Linked DNA regions of Rattus norvegicus. The protein of the gene in region 1 interacts with the protein of each later gene in a biochemical or structural test. Links are inferred from orthologs where the notes say so. Each region holds a gene or a part of one and is shown on either strand. Other genes may lie near its edges.

Evidence for each region. The genes of interacting proteins can lie anywhere in the genome.
Region 2: of the proteins of Atm (region 1) and Creb1, one has a biochemical effect on the other in vitro, tested with the Homo sapiens proteins (2 studies listed by BioGRID). The link is inferred for Rattus norvegicus from reciprocal best matches to the Homo sapiens genes ATM and CREB1.
Region 3: the proteins of Atm (region 1) and Mdc1 form a complex in vitro, tested with the Homo sapiens proteins (2 studies listed by BioGRID, with this or other methods). The link is inferred for Rattus norvegicus from reciprocal best matches to the Homo sapiens genes ATM and MDC1.

What each region holds. Positions count from the first base shown.
Region 1 is NC_086026.1:62,744,303-62,749,850, reverse strand, and holds part of Atm (serine-protein kinase ATM), read left to right. Parts: intron 1-563; coding exon 564-737; intron 738-1,554; coding exon 1,555-1,668; intron 1,669-2,274; coding exon 2,275-2,489; intron 2,490-3,006; coding exon 3,007-3,214; intron 3,215-4,343; coding exon 4,344-4,457; intron 4,458-4,728; coding exon 4,729-4,887; intron 4,888-5,509; coding exon 5,510-5,548.
Region 2 is NC_086027.1:73,434,529-73,440,076, forward strand, and holds part of Creb1 (cyclic AMP-responsive element-binding protein 1), read left to right. Parts: exon of another isoform or gene 1-1,317; coding exon of another isoform or gene 1,318-1,337; intron 1,338-2,457; coding exon 2,458-2,640; intron 2,641-3,588; coding exon of another isoform or gene 3,589-3,652; intron 3,653-4,575; coding exon 4,576-4,726; intron 4,727-5,548.
Region 3 is NC_086038.1:2,907,612-2,913,159, reverse strand, and holds part of Mdc1 (mediator of DNA damage checkpoint protein 1), read left to right. Parts: intron 1-849; coding exon of another isoform or gene 850-851; coding exon 852-987; intron 988-1,613; coding exon 1,614-1,994; intron 1,995-2,075; coding exon 2,076-2,151; intron 2,152-2,776; coding exon 2,777-4,098; intron 4,099-4,209; coding exon 4,210-4,275; intron 4,276-4,413; coding exon 4,414-4,503; intron 4,504-5,462; coding exon 5,463-5,548. UniProt on the Homo sapiens protein: Histone reader protein required for checkpoint-mediated cell cycle arrest in response to DNA damage within both the S phase and G2/M phases of the cell cycle.

The DNA.
Region 1 (5,548 bases):
GATAGCATGCTTGTTTGCATAGCTAATACAAGGCTCTGGGATCAAACCCCAGTGTTGATTGGAAAAACAAAACAAAGCTTCCATAGTAGAATTAGACAAAAAACTTGAGTTTAAACATTGGCAAGGCAATAATTATTGTTTCTCAGCCTCAATTTCCTGGTTATAAAATAAGAAAATAGATACCCAAACTACTATAATGTAATAATAACAATTCAGTGATCTATCTCTCTCTCTCTCTCTCTCTCTCCCTCCCTCCCTCCCTCCCTCCCTCCCTCCCTCCGTCTCCCCCCTTCTCTCTATCTCCCTTCCCCCCACATGAGCTAGCTGTGTTAGACTTTGTGGTCTGTAGGTTAGTAAGTAAGCTAATTAAGATAGTCTCCGAAATGGGATTGGGGATTTGGCTCAGTGGTAGAGCGCTTGCCTAGCAACTGCAAGGCTGGGTTCGGTCCCCAGCTCCGAAAAAAAAAAAAAAAAGATAGTCTCCGAAAAATAGTAAAATAGTGAGGGTCTCAGCGAATGCCTTGCTGGTAACGTGTTTATTTCCATATGCATTCTCACTGTAGCTCCCTGAAAGAGCAATATTTAAAATTAAGCAATATAATCCAGCTATTTGCGGAATCTCTGAATGGCATTTGGAAGAAGCACAAGTATTTTGGGCAAAGAAGGAGCAGAGTCTTGCCCTGAGTATCCTCAAGCAAATGATCAAGAAGTTGGACTCCAGCTTTAGAGAGGTGTGTGTCCTGTGTGGTTGGCTGCATCGGTGTTTTATGTCCTCCAAAAGATGTCTGCTGCAGAATACGTCTGTACTGGTCACATTAAGGCTTTGAAATCACTGATCCAGAAACAAAATAATATGAAAGAGACCTTGAAAATTAATGTCAGAAATGAGACTTGAAAACTTTTTCCTAAATCTATCAATCTGTCTTGAAGTATATTCATTCAGTTTATATTCTATAGAAGTCAAAAATAATATGTAGGAAATGAATGGAAATACACGTTGTAACTTCGAAGTAGCAAGAACAAAAATAGAATTAGAAATGTCTGGGAGAAGAAAAGTAGAAAACAAGTAACAACAATTTGTCATTCTTTGTGCTCTGAACATATTCACACTCAGTGGACAGTGTAGGACATTGTAGGGTCATGAGTTATTATTAATTATAACAAAGTACTAGGTAACAGTATAACTTACTTAAGTATTTCCTAAATAGTGTAGACCCTAACATGTGCAGTGGTTTTGTACCTGAGTCTTTGCACTGGCAAGTAGGTAATAATGATATATCTAATCTATAGTATTCCTGTGAAAATTATGGGTTAATATGCATAAAGCTGTTGGAAATTTCCTGGCATTGTAAAGTACTCAGTAAATGCGAGTTGTTAGTAATAGCTAGACAGTTCAGGGCGGTTATTTCATAAGCTCACATACTTAGAAGTATTTCCTTATATGGTAAAAACATGAGGAAAAATATTTTTCATCGTCTTTTTCTACCTACACAGAAGACACTTTTGTAATCTTGAAAAGGAACTACATTTTAAGATTCTTGCTTCTTGATACAGAATGAAGCAGGTCTAAAAGGCCTACACGCAGAGTGTCTGAGGGTTTGTGGCAACTGGCTGGCAGAGACTTGCCTAGAAAATCCTGCAGTCATCATGCAGACCTATCTAGAAAAGGTAGGTTGTTGGTGCAGCTCTGAACGTTATTGTCTACTGTAAATATGCTTAATCCTCTTATGAAGCCTGCATGCATCTCAAAAGAAAACGAAAGTGTGGTTTCATTCCTTCAGTTCCTGCTGGGGCTCTCTGTAATCCCCAGAGCAGAATGAAGCAAATGCCACCAAGGAAGGAACAACTTTGAGTGTCTTCCGTCCACTCTGTAGCCCCACCATTCAGGAAGCCATTTCTGATTATTCTGCATTTACTCTACAGAATATCTTATCAAACGTAGAAGCCACCTTTGCCATTTGTGTGTAGTCCAGCTACTCACAGTAAGGGTCAGGACTTCAGTTCTCGAGTCCCCGTTAGCCTTCCTGTTTCGCCTGCTCTGTCCTTTAGTGTCACTAATTTGGGAGACCGGAAGTTTAGTATGAAAAGTAAGATGTGTTGTCTCCCATCCTAAAGAGCTTCATTCTCGGACAGTTCAGTGCAACTGCTACCTGATAAGGGTTCCGTACCATCAAGTTTCTCGTTCATCTAGAAGTGAGTGGGTTGCCTTGGGCTGCGAGTCTAGCTCTATTTATGCTTATAAACATGGTCTTAATGGATTGTGTGTTGTTGAAGGCAGTGAAGGTTGCTGGCAGTTATGATGGCGACAGCCGAGAGCTCAGAAATGGACAGATGAAGGCCTTCCTCTCATTAGCGCGGTTCTCTGATACGCAGTACCAGAGGATTGAGAACTACATGAAGTCGTCCGAATTCGAAAACAAGCAAGCTCTCTTAAAAAGAGCCAAGGAAGAAGTGGGTCTTATAAGGGAGCATAAAATTCAGACGAACAGGTAACTTTATACGCTAAAGGGCGTTTTACAGGAAGACCGCCTTGAGCTTGTCATCTGAATTACAGTTTTGAACACCTAAATTAGCATTTTTACAGGCTTCCTCAATCCTCTCCTGGTTAATCACAACTGCAGTCGGTTAATACACTGCCGTGTTTTCCTCCGAATAATTAATGTCTTGGTTTAGCTCTTGGCAGAGTACATGGATGTTAGTTTGTTTTGCTAGATACACACTAAGTATAGAAGACCTGCCTGCTTTGATGTCGTCACGCTACTTTTAAGTCTGCACTAGGTTCTTGTGTGTTTAGAGTAAGCAGAGAACTAACTTGGAGTCTACTCTGTCCGTGGGTGTGTGGAAGACCTAGTAATTGCTGGTGTGACAAGCCATTTAGTTCCTTTATATTATATTTAGGGTTTTTTGGAGTAAACGCCTTGGTTTTCGTTTATGTTGTATATCATGTACGATTTTATAGTTACGTAAAGTTTTGTGACTTTTATGTTTGAATTTATCAAATGCAAGATACACAATAAAGGTTCAGAGAGAACTGGAGCTAGATGAATGTGCTCTCCGTGCACTGAAAGAGGACCGTAAACGCTTCCTGTGTAAAGCAGTTGAGAACTACATCAGCTGCTTACTAAGCGGAGAAGAACATGATCTGTGGGTGTTCCGACTCTGCTCCCTCTGGCTGGAAAATTCTGGAGTCTCTGAAGTCAATGGCATGATGAAGGCAAGTCTTACCTAACCCATACACTTTAAACGGAGGCCATGGCCTCCTCAGTGTCTGTGTACCCCTTGTAATGGGTCTGGTGCTCCACAGATAAGCACTTTGTAAACTCTAAGTGACATGGGTTTGTGCGGAGGCAATGGAACTTCTCTTAGCGTTTTACCTTTGCAGATGACATAGAGGAGTCCATAGAACTACACTGGAGAAGAGGAAACAAAAACAATGTGACACTAAGCAAGAATTTTCCTTGCTTTTGTTTGTGTTTTTGAGGGCTCTTTTTTCCAATAGAGCACTTTTACAAATAAAAAAAAAATCACAGCATATACAGGAGTACTTGTAAGTTTTTAGTGAAAAAAAATCTTTTTTTTTTTTTTAAGATTTATTTATTGTATATGAGTACACTCTAGCTGTCTTCAGACACACCAGAAGAAGGCATCAGATCTCATTACAGATGGTTGTGAGCCACCATATGGTTGCTGGGAATTGAACTCAGGACCTCTGGAAGAGCAGTCAGTGCTCTTAACCACTGAGCCATCTCTCCAGCCTGTGAAAAGAAATCTTAAGATGTGGTCATAAAATAAATATATATTGTCATTTAGTTTGAAGTTTCTGTTTGTAGATACATAAAATGTTTCTACAGAATGGAAAGACTGGTAAGACTCAAAATCAACAAAACTAATCTGTTCCACTGTGTGTGTGTGTGTGTGTGTGTGTGTGTGTGTGTGTGTGTGTGTGTGTGTGTTAAACTTAATTGCCTCTGGCATATGGGGAAAGGAACTTGAGTCTGTTGCCCCTGACTTCTTGGGAGTTGAGACCACAGTAGACTTGGATTCAAATCTGTCCTCCTCGGAGTCACTGGAATGGATGTGGTGGTTAGCATACCAGCTCTGGGTACAGTTTGATTGAGGGCTAAGTATTTTTATTATCACTGAATCACTAGGTGAATTTTATTATCACCTAGGCTTTGCACTAGAAAGACTTTCAGGTAGGGGAAATTGTCTAATTGGTAAAGTTTTGACAGCCACTAGGGTGTACTTAGTGGAGGACCATTATTTTAGAAACCATTATTTTGGCTTAGATGTAAGATTATATTACACACACGTTTCTATATTTTGCATTTTTTTAATGGCAGAGAGATGGAATGAAGATTTCCTCCTATAAGTTTTTGCCTCTCATGTACCAATTGGCTGCTAGAATGGGGACCAAAATGACAGGAGGCCTAGGATTTCATGAAGTCCTCAATAATGTAAGTAGACTTGAAGTCAAAAATGTAATAATTACCTGTCTTTTATATTAGTAAAAATGAGAAATCAAAGTATTAAATTTTCTCTTTCATTGCAGATGTTTGTCTCTCATGTCTGACATTCAGCTGTAGCTCTCTCTCACAGACAGATACACACGCTACTTACTGTACAATAATGACATTAACTTGAATTTGATGATAGGTAATACGAAAAATGTATATTTAAATTTTTTTTCTATTCGCATGAAACTAACAGTTATTAATCTTCTGATAGCTCATCTCTAGGATTTCAATGGATCACCCCCATCACACCTTGTTCATCATCCTGGCCTTAGCAAATGCAAACAAAGATGAGTTTTTGAGCAAACCAGAGACAGCAAGAAGGGGCAGAATAACCAAGAATGCACCCAAAGAAAGCTCTCAGCTTGATGAGGTATTTGGGTTAAATACAAGAATGCTTTTGTGTGGTGATGGTCGTTCTTTCCCAGAACATTCCTGTCTTAATTCTCAGAGACGTTAAGGATGCACGTTTCTGGTACTGCTCTGTATCCTGTATTATGGAGCTGCCACCCAGAATTGGTTAACAATTCCTAAACATGTCCCAGAGCATAAATGCCAGTTTGATTTTATTTTCATGAAGCAGTGGGCACAACAAACCCCAGAATTAAAAAAAAATATATTCGTTTATTTTTAATGTACACGAATGGTTGGCCTGCACCGTATGTATATCCGGCACCTACAGAAGCCAGGAGAAGTTTTTGGATTCCCTGGACCTGGGGTTGCCATGCAGGTTCTGAGAACCAAACCTGGGTCCTCTGAAAAAGCAGCGAGTGCTCTTAACCACTGAGCCATCTCTCTGGGCCCAGAAAAACAGATATTTGAAAAGTGCCCAGGTCATTAACCTTGAATGTCCTTATGTGTGCATTTCACCCACTGGGTGGGTGTTCTGTTTGTATCTGAAGAACTATAGTCCTTCCGTCATCCAGATGGGTGCATACATTCTTGTTGTATAGCTTACCAGTTGGGTGGTTCTTGTTCTTTGTGGTTGATGGTAGGATCGAGCAGAGGCTGCAAGCAGAATAATCCATACAATC
Region 2 (5,548 bases), on another chromosome or scaffold:
AGAGATAATGAATTTATTTTAATGAATTTGGTTTTGTCAGAACTATCTTATACTTTTAAAGTAATCAAGTGTACAAATAAATATTACACAGTTAAAAATGTTTAAATCTTAGATGAGACTTTTATTTTCAAAGAATTGTCGTGTGTGTGTGTGTGTGAGACCTTACTGTTTAAAACAACTATATCTGTTACATAAGAGCAGATGTTTTTAGATTTCCAGGAAAAATAACAAAATCAAATGATCTTAACAGAGTAGCCCATATCTTTTCCTTCCATTCACTTTGAGGTTGTTGCTGTGTAATCAAGAAAAAGTAGAATGTTAATTAAATACACTTGAATTTGCAAATTAACTCCAGGAGAAATGAAGATTTGATTTTGATAACCTTATGATTCTTTAAAAGTCCTTGTTCCCCGACCCTCTTCGTGTATTTTTATTTTATGTGTATGGATGTTTTTGTGCACCAGATGTGTGCAGTACCAGCAAAGGCCAGAAGAGGGTGTCCTGTCCCCTAGAACTAGTTGCTCATGGCTGTGAGCCTCCCTGTTGATGCTGGGAATAGAACCTAAGTTCTCTGAGAGAGCAGCCCTATCTCCAGACCTTTCCAAGTAATCTTACAAAGTTAATCGTAGAATAATTCATAGACATTTTTTAACATCTAAGATAGTAAAATCTGGAATTAGCTAACATAGCATTATATATGCTAGTATGTTAATTTCCACAAATTTATCACCTTGATAAAGTGACTAATAGTCATGAACTCATAGCTCTTGATTGAACAGTGAATTATCCATTTTCTGTGCGCATACCACTCAGGATAGTATAATTACCCAGAGGTCACCGATAATCCTAAATTAATTTACTTCTGTTATACAATAACTTAATTAGGTACATTGGTACCACATTTTTTTTTTAACTTTCCTTTTAATGCAATTATAATCCATTATGAAGAGCTGGGAACAAACCTCAGTTGACAGGGTGTATTCCTACCATGTGTGAAGGTTTGATTCTCAGCACTTGCCCATCATATGCGCGTGCACACCAACACACACACACACACACACACACACACACAATTTATGAAATTGCTCAGGTAAAATTATAATTTTTAGGTTTTTTTTTTTTTTTGAAAACTTGATCCTTGGATTTATCTGAGGAGTCAATCATATTTTTCAGTTCCAGTATCCAAAGATCATGTATTTCAAACAAGATAAGAACTTACCTTTCAAGTAACTTTTTCTTTGCACTGTTGTGTAAGGTTGACTTGGATGAGTGCTGAGTGATTTTCATTTGCCAGATAGTAGCTATTGTGCTTCTTCATCAGCAGTCAATAGAAGGCTCTGTGAAGACCCAGACAAGGAGCTTAGAACTAGATAAGGTGCATCTAAATGAGAGTCTGTCTCTAGTTTTTTTTTTTTTGGTTCTTTTTTTCGGAGCTGGGGACCGAACCCAGGGCCTTGCACTTCCTAGGCAAGCGCTCTACCACTGAGCTAAATCCCCAACCCCCTGTCTCTAGTTTTAAACTTCATGAGACAATCATAATAACTGAGATCCAGGGTATTTCACATCTTTCATTGATGAGATTTTTGGTGGGGATGATGGGTAGTAGGTAGGTGCTAGAGACTGAACCCAGCCAGGGCCTTGGATATTAATGTATTAATGGTTTTTCTTTTTCTTTCCTTAAATATTACTAATTTCATTTATTTATTTTGAGATGATGTCTTACTATTTTTCCCAGGCTAGTCTTAAACTTGTAGCTCAAGTGACTTTTTTTTTTTTTTTTTTTTTTTTTTTTTTTTTTGCCTTAGCTCCTTGAGAAGTGTCATGGCTTTCTAAGTGCACTACTGACAAGTTTATAAATTGCTCTAAAAGTTAGAAAATATAATTCACTGAGAGAGGGCCTTATTAATCATACTTTTAACAAACATTTATTGGGTGCTTCTTATATTAATTAATTTTCTACCTGTAAAAATGTATTTACAATTAAAGCAGCAGGTAGTAAACCATTATATGAGGGAGTTGACGGTACTGTAAAGAAAGTATTGTTGTAAAGCAGGACCTCCTTGGAGTTGAAATAAGTTCAAAAAGAGTTTGAGTTTCACTTTTTTTTTTTTTTTGGTTCTTTTTTTCGGAGCTGGGTACCGAACCCAGGGCCTTGCGCTTCCTAGGTAAGCGCTCTACTACTGAGCTAAATCCCCAGCCCCGAGTTTCACTTTTTATGTTGTTTGTTACCATGCATTATTTATTGTAGTACAGTTCATAGACTTTATTTCTCACAGAAATTGGATATGGTTTCCTGAGTACACAGTTATTTGAATAAACCAAGTCTTCCTTGGTGGTGTTATTTTCTAGAGTAATTTCTCCTAGAATATGCTTTGCTAATTGCATGGGTTTAGTGTGTTTTAAAATTTTTATGTGGTATTAATTAAACTTGTAACAATAAAATTCATTGGGTTTTAGTTGCCATTACCCAGGGAGGAGCAATACAGCTGGCTAACAATGGTACCGATGGGGTACAGGGCCTGCAGACATTAACCATGACCAATGCAGCTGCCACTCAGCCGGGTACTACCATTCTACAATATGCACAGACCACTGATGGACAGCAGATTCTAGTGCCCAGCAACCAAGTTGTTGTTCAAGGTAATAGAATTAAGAATTCATACATACGGTACATTCTTTTAAAAATTACTGTGTATACTCATGAAAAGTAAGTATATTGCAAAGCACTACTAAAATAGTTTTCTTCAGTATAGATTTAGATATTAACAATTTAGATATGTATATATTAATACATAAATAAATATTCCTCATGAAACTTTCCATTATCCCACTTGGACGAAAATGTCATGGCATAAAAACAACTATCTTTTAGCTTTAAAAGGGTGATACCTGTCTTCAGTGCCTTCAGTAGTCAGGGGAGGGAGAACCAGGATGCGTTAGAAGAGAACTGAGGAAGCTGTGGCTAAGCTACATGGCTTCAGGTAACGCCCAGCTTCCTTGGGCCTCTTCCTTTCCCACCTCATTGTTTGCTACAGGTCACTATGGAAGAGCTTTAGTGGATTCTGCTCTCTGTTTTGTTTATCTGTTTTGTTTTTTAATTTTTACTTAAAAGGAATATAGAGATTTTCTCAAGTCATCAGTTTTGATTTCAGATAAAAACATTTCAAAAGAGCATATGTCATTATGCAAGTTTGCTCATTGGAGAGTAAGTTGTCCTTAAGTCCTCGACAGACTAGAGGATTTTGGGGGTTTTTTACCAAAATTTCAGGAGTGTGGAGAGTACTAACTCTTCTCCATTAATTCATTGAACAGTTCATAGTTTATACCGGATTAAAAATTTATAGAGTAAGAAAATTTTTGCTTCTAAAAATATTTTTGTTAATAATAACTAATTGCGTGTGTTAATGAGAGTCGTATCCCTTCACCATGGATATTACTTTTGGATCATACCAAAACACCAAGTAAACATCTTTTGTTTAATAAATTCTAATATATTTATATTATGTATCTTGTTACTAGACCAATGATATTTGAAAAAAAATATTTGCTTATTAGTGGGAGTAAAACACCTTTTCACTTTACATGCAGGTACTCAAAAAATTGTAAAGCAGGATGTCAGTGACTTTGAATTCTCAACGTCAGTTTGAATATGGTAACATGTTTAGTATATAAATCTTTGTCCCTCAAACAATACAATTGGTATTTTAAACTAATACGAATGATTTTATGAAGACCTTCAAGATCTCTCACATAGTGCTAGGGTACTTATTAGAACATATTATCACACTGTTTCTAGAAGCAAATAATGGACAAATGATTTTTTTTTCACATATGGAAATTGTATGGTTAGGAAAATCCAAAGCTGAGTGAGGTGACAACACATTTTAATCCCAGCACTTGGGAGGCAGAGACAGACAGAGGCAGGTGGATCTCTGAGTTCTAAGCCAGCCTGGTCTACATAGCAAGTTCCAGGACAGCCAAGGCTACATAGTAAGACCCTATCTTAGAAAACAGAAAAGAAAAATATCCAGCTCTTACGTATTTATTATCACTTATATTAAGATATGTTTACATATACCATGATTGGCATCAAATGTCCAGTTTTTCATACTTTGAGTTTTGTTTGAATTAGACATTTATAATAGTTTACCATATGCTCATTTTCTCTTCTGTTTTGCTATTTTATGAAAAATCATGTCGTTTTTATGTCGTGGCAAGAGTCTACTTGAGATTTTTAATGTGGCTTTATCCCAATCAAGGGAAAACACTGAGACCTTTATCTAGAAGAATCATCTGTGCTGGGCCCCGTTTTCCTTCTAGACTAAAGGTTGACAAGCATGTAAACCACATAATAGATCTCCATTCAGTACAGCATAACTATAAGACCCAGCAGAGACACTAAGGCATCCTTACCTGTACGTGTGCTAATAGTACAGTAGATTGGGATCTTCTTTTTAGCTAGGATCATGTTCCCTGTTTCCCTTTTAATCTAAGTATGTTTAGATTGATTGGAGACATAGTTGAATTAAATTGTTGTGTTTCTGTGTCTTATGACTTGTTCGCTCTTCTTTGCAGCTGCCTCTGGTGATGTACAAACATACCAGATTCGCACAGCACCCACTAGCACCATTGCCCCTGGAGTTGTTATGGCGTCCTCCCCAGCACTTCCTACACAGCCTGCTGAAGAAGCAGCACGAAAGAGAGAGGTTCGTCTAATGAAGAACAGGTATAGATATTCCAGACACTTAAATGCTATGGGTCAAGTATGTGTATGAACGCTTCTCTGCACACCTTTATATCTGCTAATAGTAGGTTCTATGCATTGACTTTCTTTTTCTGGTAGAATTCTGATAGATTTCTGGTGAATCTTGCTAATGCCTCTTTGTTTTAAGTTGCATTTATAAAGTGGCTAATGGGACTTTTGGTCAATCTTCAATCAAAAAGTAATTTTTTTCATAGTTTTTCCACAAGAGATTTAAAATGCATAGCTTTAATGAATTTGTATTTTATTCTAGCCAATAGGGTAGGTTAATTAAATTTTTTTCAAAAGTAATATTCCTCAAAGTGCATATGTATACTAACATTAGACTATAGTTTATTTGCATTAAATTTATTTGTAACAGATATACGGTAGTCATTTTTGTTTTAATGAATACTTTCTTTTGCATTTTTATGCACTTAAAGATTTATTATGCATGTCTTATGTATATGTGTGGATGCCCACATTTATACCATGAAGGGCAGAAGAAAGCATTAGATGTCTTGGATCTAGAGTGACAGAGTGACAGCCACCTGTCTTGTTCTTTGTTTTGGGGTCAGAATCTTGCTCTGTGGGCCAAAGTGGCCTCGAACTCTTGATCCTCCTGCCTCTTTGAGTGCTGGGATTACAAGTTTGTGCTACCATGCCTGGCCTTAGGAGGCATGTACTTTCTTACTCAGAATAATAATTTAACATCCAAACGCTTTTAAAATAGAGTAATTCTAAAAATATGGTATTCCTGACAAAGCCTTAATGCATAGTTAATGTTGGTCTTCAGAAATTAAAGTG
Region 3 (5,548 bases), on another chromosome or scaffold:
TGTGGGCTGGGGATATAGCTCTGTGGTAGAGCATTTGTATTGGTGTGTCATGAGAAAACAGCTATCAGCAGTGCCTGCTTTCAAGGTCCTCATAGCTGAATGGGGTGTGTCTATCCAGGACATACATTCTATGAATTCAGTCTGTAGTATCTAAAAACAAGCAATCAAGTCACATAAAATATCCCCTTCTGTATAATAGTATACTTTGTGTCCTGGCCAAAAGTATAGATATGTATATATATATATATATTATTTGTTCTGTTTTGGAGGGGGTCTCACTGTGATTCTGGCTGGCCTGGAACTGGCTATGTAGACCAAATAGAGACCTGCCTACCTCTGCCTTTCCATTGCTATAATCAAAGCTGCACATCATCCTGTCTGGTAAGGTCCCCAGTCCTTAATTTTCCTGCTTCATCATCTCACATGCAGGGACTACAGATAGATGCCAACATATGTCTATTAAAAAAGACTTTTTCCTCACTGTTGTACTAAGTGTTGAACATGTGGTCTCACACAGGCTAGCCAAACATTCTATTCACTGACATATTCTCCCACCCCTCAATATTGTTACATGACTGACTGATGGAAAATCATCACCCATGGTTGTGTACATCTTTAATCCCAGCACTTGGGAGGCGGAGGCAAGGGGATCTCTGAGTTTGAGGCCAGCCTGGTCTACAAAGTGAGTTCCAGGACAACCAGGGCTACATAGAGAAGCCCAATCTCAGAGAGAGAGAGAGAGAGAGAGAGAGAGAGAGAGAGAGAGAGAGATCATTTCCACATTTACCCAGGTTTACCTCTAGTTATTTTTTTTCTGACAGGAGCAATGATAATGTGTTTCCTTTATAGATATGGAAAACACTCAGGTGATTGACTGGGATGCTGAAGAAGAGGAAGAGACAGAAATATCCAGTGGATCCTTGGGGTATAGTGTGGAGCCTATAGGGCGGCTGCGATTCTTCAGTGGTACCCATGGACCAGAACGAGGTCAGGGGATATTGGGAGCTAAAGTATGAATGTGGGTCTTATTAGAAGAAGTTAGAAGGTTTCAAAGGGGATATGAATAACTGTACTACAAAGGATGCCAAAGAGGCCACCTGAGTTGACTGTTCAAGGCTGGTGACCTGGATTTTCTAGGAGTGATTTTCTTTTGTCAAGAGAAAATGAAGAGCTTCAAATAAAAATACAATGTGGGGACTAAAAAGATGGCTCAGTGATTAAAAGTGCTTACTGCTCTTGATCCCTGTACTCAGGAGGTGACTCGAGAATTTGAGGGTAACCTAGGCCACATAGTGAATTTGAAAATAACCTAGGCTACATGGAAGACCCTAAATCAAAAAACAAAACAAGAGCTATAGCCATGGCTCAGAGGGAGATTGCTTAGCTAGCATGCGTGAGGGCGCTCTGTTTTCACAGTTGAGCAGCTGGGAAAAAACAAAAATAATGTGAGTAGATAGAACATTGCTGATGAGTGGTACATTATAAATGCTTTTCTGTGCTGGCGTGCCCTGCCTCAGGGTTTGTTGTTGGTTGTTAATGGTTAGCGTATCTAACCAGAACATCTTCAGGGCAGGACTCTGGCCTTACACTCATATCTTTTCTCTGATCCTCAGATTTCCCACTCTACCTTGGCAAGAATGTAGTTGGTCGAAGCCCTGACTGCTCTGTGGCCCTGCCTTTTCCATCCATCTCCAAACAGCACGCAGTGATTGAAATCTCAGCTTGGAACAAAGCCCCTATCCTTCAGGATTGTGGGAGCCTCAATGGCACTCAAATCGTAAAGCCTCCTAGGGTCCTAGCTCCTGGAGTGAGCCATCGTCTGAGGGACCAGGAATTAATTCTGTTTGCAGACTTTCCCTGCCAGTACCATCGCCTGAATGTCCCACCACCCTTGGTCCCTCGGAGTCTTCTAACTATAGAGAAGACCCCCAGAATACGGGGAAGATCCCAAAATTCCAGAGTTTTGTTGGCTGAGGATTCAGAGGAAGAAGGAGGTAAGTTTGTGCCTTGGGTATATGTGTGAAAAGACAGGGATATTGATATAAACTCAATTTATTCTTTCTTATTCTTGCCAGATTTTCCTTCTGGAAGGTCTGTGGCAAATGGATCAAGGAATACAGCATCCCCTTCAGCAACAGTAGTTCCAGAAAGGTGGGTACCAAAGTCCAGATACCTGAATCATTTGTTTTTGTTTTTGTATTTTTCAGACAGAGTCTCTGTGGCCCAGGCTGGTCTCAGACTCGTGGTAATCCTCTAGGTTCAGACTCTGTATTGAGATTGCAGGGTTAAGCCGCCATACCTGCTTTTAGACAATTAAGCCTTTGAACAAGGAGTCAATCTTGAAGAGATGATTGGTTTTCTGTTTTGTCTTGTCTTGGGGGGTTTTATTTTATTTTATTTTTTTTATTAGCCAAAGCACATACTTTATTTATTTTATTATTTTTATTTTTATTTATTTTTTTAAGACAGGGTTTCTCTTTGTAGCCCTGGGTATCCTAGAACTGGGCTTCAACTCAGAGATCCACCTGCCTCTACCTCCCAAGTGCTGGGATTAAAGGCGTGGGCCACCACTGCCTGGCAGATGATTACCTTGAAAGGTGGAGCTGAGGGCCTTCGCATAATTATTTCCTCAGCTGAATTAAACCATGATGAGTACTGCTGATGTACTTAGTGGGGAGGAGAAAACAGCTACCAGCAGTGCCTGCTTTACGGTCCTCACAGCTGAGCGGGTGTCTCTAGCCAGGAAACACACTGTATAGATCCTTTTTCTTTGCAGTGATGAAGAGGGCTCTTCTCCAGGCCCAAGTGTCCCTGGGCCATCTTCACCCTTTGGTTTGGGAAGTGACACAGATGAATCACAAGGTCAGCAACCAGGAGTAGAGGAATCTTCTTTAGCTGACAACAGTGGTGCCGCAGGGGAGCCTGAGCAGCCTGAAGTGAATGGAGTGACAACTGGCACACTGGCTCAGCCTACCAAGGACAAGTTCAAGGACACAAAGATGAAGGAGGAGGCAGGCAGTGCAGGGGTTCCAGTTGGGTCAGTTGTGGAGGGGAGCCCCACTCTTGGGGAAGACAGTGACACAGAAGCGGATGAAGAGCGTCAGCCTTCTGGTTCTGGGGATAGTGATACGGACGTAGAAGAAGAGAGGGTCCCTGTGAAGAAGAACCAAGTACTGCTTGGGGTTGGTATAGGGGGTCCAGGAGCACGTGGTGTGGCACATCTGCAGGACAGCCCAACTGGTAGTGACACAGATGTGGAGGAGGACAAGACTGCACTGGCTGCCCCTCCAGAGAGAAGCCACACAGCCATGGTGATCAACAGTGATACAGACGAGGAGGAGAGGGGTGAGGAGGAAGAGGTCTCGGCAGCACTCACCTTGGCCCGTCTGAAGGAGAGAGGAATTGCTTTGTGGAGTGGAGAGCCAGGCACAGAGGAGGTCAAGTCCCAACCACAGGTCCTTGTAGAACGAAGCCAGAGTGCCTCTGGGAGAGACAGTGACACTGACGTGGAGGAGGGATCCTCAGGGGGAAAGAGAGAGATTGTCCCTGACAGCCCCATGGATGTAGATGAGACTCTTACTGTCACACAGCCAGAGAGCCAGCCTCCCTGTAGGCCCAATGATGTAGACGAGGATGTGGATATGAGCTCCCCTGGCAGCCATCTAGAGGGAAAGAAGGCCTCCTCTGCTCTGGTAGACAAGAACAGAGCACAAGTGGAGGAGGAAGTCCCAGGGCCATCTGTTACCCTGGGGGAGAAACACCAGGTGCCTCTAGAGGGAGCCCAGCCTCCTGAGGAAGCCCGGGAAACAGCTGTGCAGGAAGGCTCATCCTCACCAGTGGCAGACATAAGAATGAGCCAGCAGCCAGTAGCGGAAGATGCTGGGACAGAGTGTGCTGCAGCTGTTTCTGAACAGAAAAGTGCTCTTGAGGTCGGGGCTCAGAGCAGGTCACCTGCAGCACCCGTGGAGCAGGTGGTGGTACGCACAGATACTTCAGGGGATCCTACCCTGCCACAGAGAGAGGGAGCCCAGACCCCCACAGGAAGGGAAAGAGAAGCACATGTGGGCGGGACCAAGCATGCCAAAGAGTGCTGTGATGGTAAGTGTTGCCCTCTGCTCTGCGTTTGACCCTTAAATAAGGCTTAGGAGAGAACTGCAGGAGTCTTCGGGATGAGTTGATTTTTATTTGTCTCTCATCTCTTCCCACCAGAACCTGAGGATCTGTGCCTTTCAGCCACCCAGTGCTTTGTGGAAGGGGAGAGCCAGCACCCAGGAGGTGAGGACATTGTGTGCTTTGGATGGGAGTGCCAGGGAGAGCTGGGCGATCAGACCAGTGGTCCTTGAAAGGCGATGTGGCCAAGTAGGGGGATGGGATTCTGGGACAGCTGCGTTGTGCCCACCTTTTCTTCTACAGCTGTCCAGAGTTTGGAAGATGAGCCTACCCAAGTCTTCCCATGCCTTCCCCAAGAGCCTGGACCTTCCCATCTCAGCCTCCCGACTCCAGGTACACGGAAGTCTCTGGACCCCCAGCCTTGCATCCTTTCTTATTTTTCCCTCCACATCCTTCATATGCTGTCTTGTTAGATTTACCTATGCTGATCTTCCAAGTGCCGGGATTATAGGTGTGTGTCATCAGCTAGGGATGGACTAGGACGTCATGAATGCTGGATGAGCTCTCCCAACTGAGCTGTATTCCCAGCCCTGCCTTTCATATTCTTTCCCTATTTTACTGATGTTCTCCATTTCATCAGGAAAAGAAACTTATACCAGACATGGGGACACACACTGTCTCCCAGAACTTGGGAGACAGAGGCAGGAGCTCAGGGCCATCCTGGACTGCATAGAAAGTTTGAGGCCTTGACTAAATGAGAACTTGTCTCAGAAACAACAACAACAAAATCCAACAACATGGGCATGGCTCAATGGTTAAGAGTGGCCATTGTTGTTCTAGAGGACAAGAATTCAGCACCCATGTCAGGCAGCTGGCAACCACCGGTGACTCCACTCCTGGAGATTCATCGCTCTCTGTGTACCCACACACATGATATACGTATGAATAGAAAATTTTAAAATACATGTTAAAAAAATAAATAAAAATGAGATTGCCTAGATTATCCTGATTCTAGTTCAGGAGATTTAGGTTGGCCCAAAGACTCAAATTGGTTTTCCCTCTACATTCTCCTTAGAGTTTGAACCCAGGGTTTTACCTGTGACAAATGAGTATTCTCCTAAGATGAGTGTTTTCCTAAACCACATCCCCAATCCTTGTTTTTCAAATGAGCCTCCTGAGGGAGCCTGTGTATGAGGTTATAATCTTCTGAATAGCAGCAACATTACAGCCACTACCCTACTCCCAGATTTCCTTTTGTAACCCATTTAGCTGTTTGTGAGTCTGCCCTAGTTCTCAGCCTTAGTGATTTTGTTTACCCATGTACTTACCTCCTTTTTCTGATCCTTGTTTAGGTGCAGATACCTTGGATGTGCCTTGGGAAGTCTTGGCTACACAGCCGTTCTGTCTGAGAGAACAGACAGAGACCTCTGAGCCCATT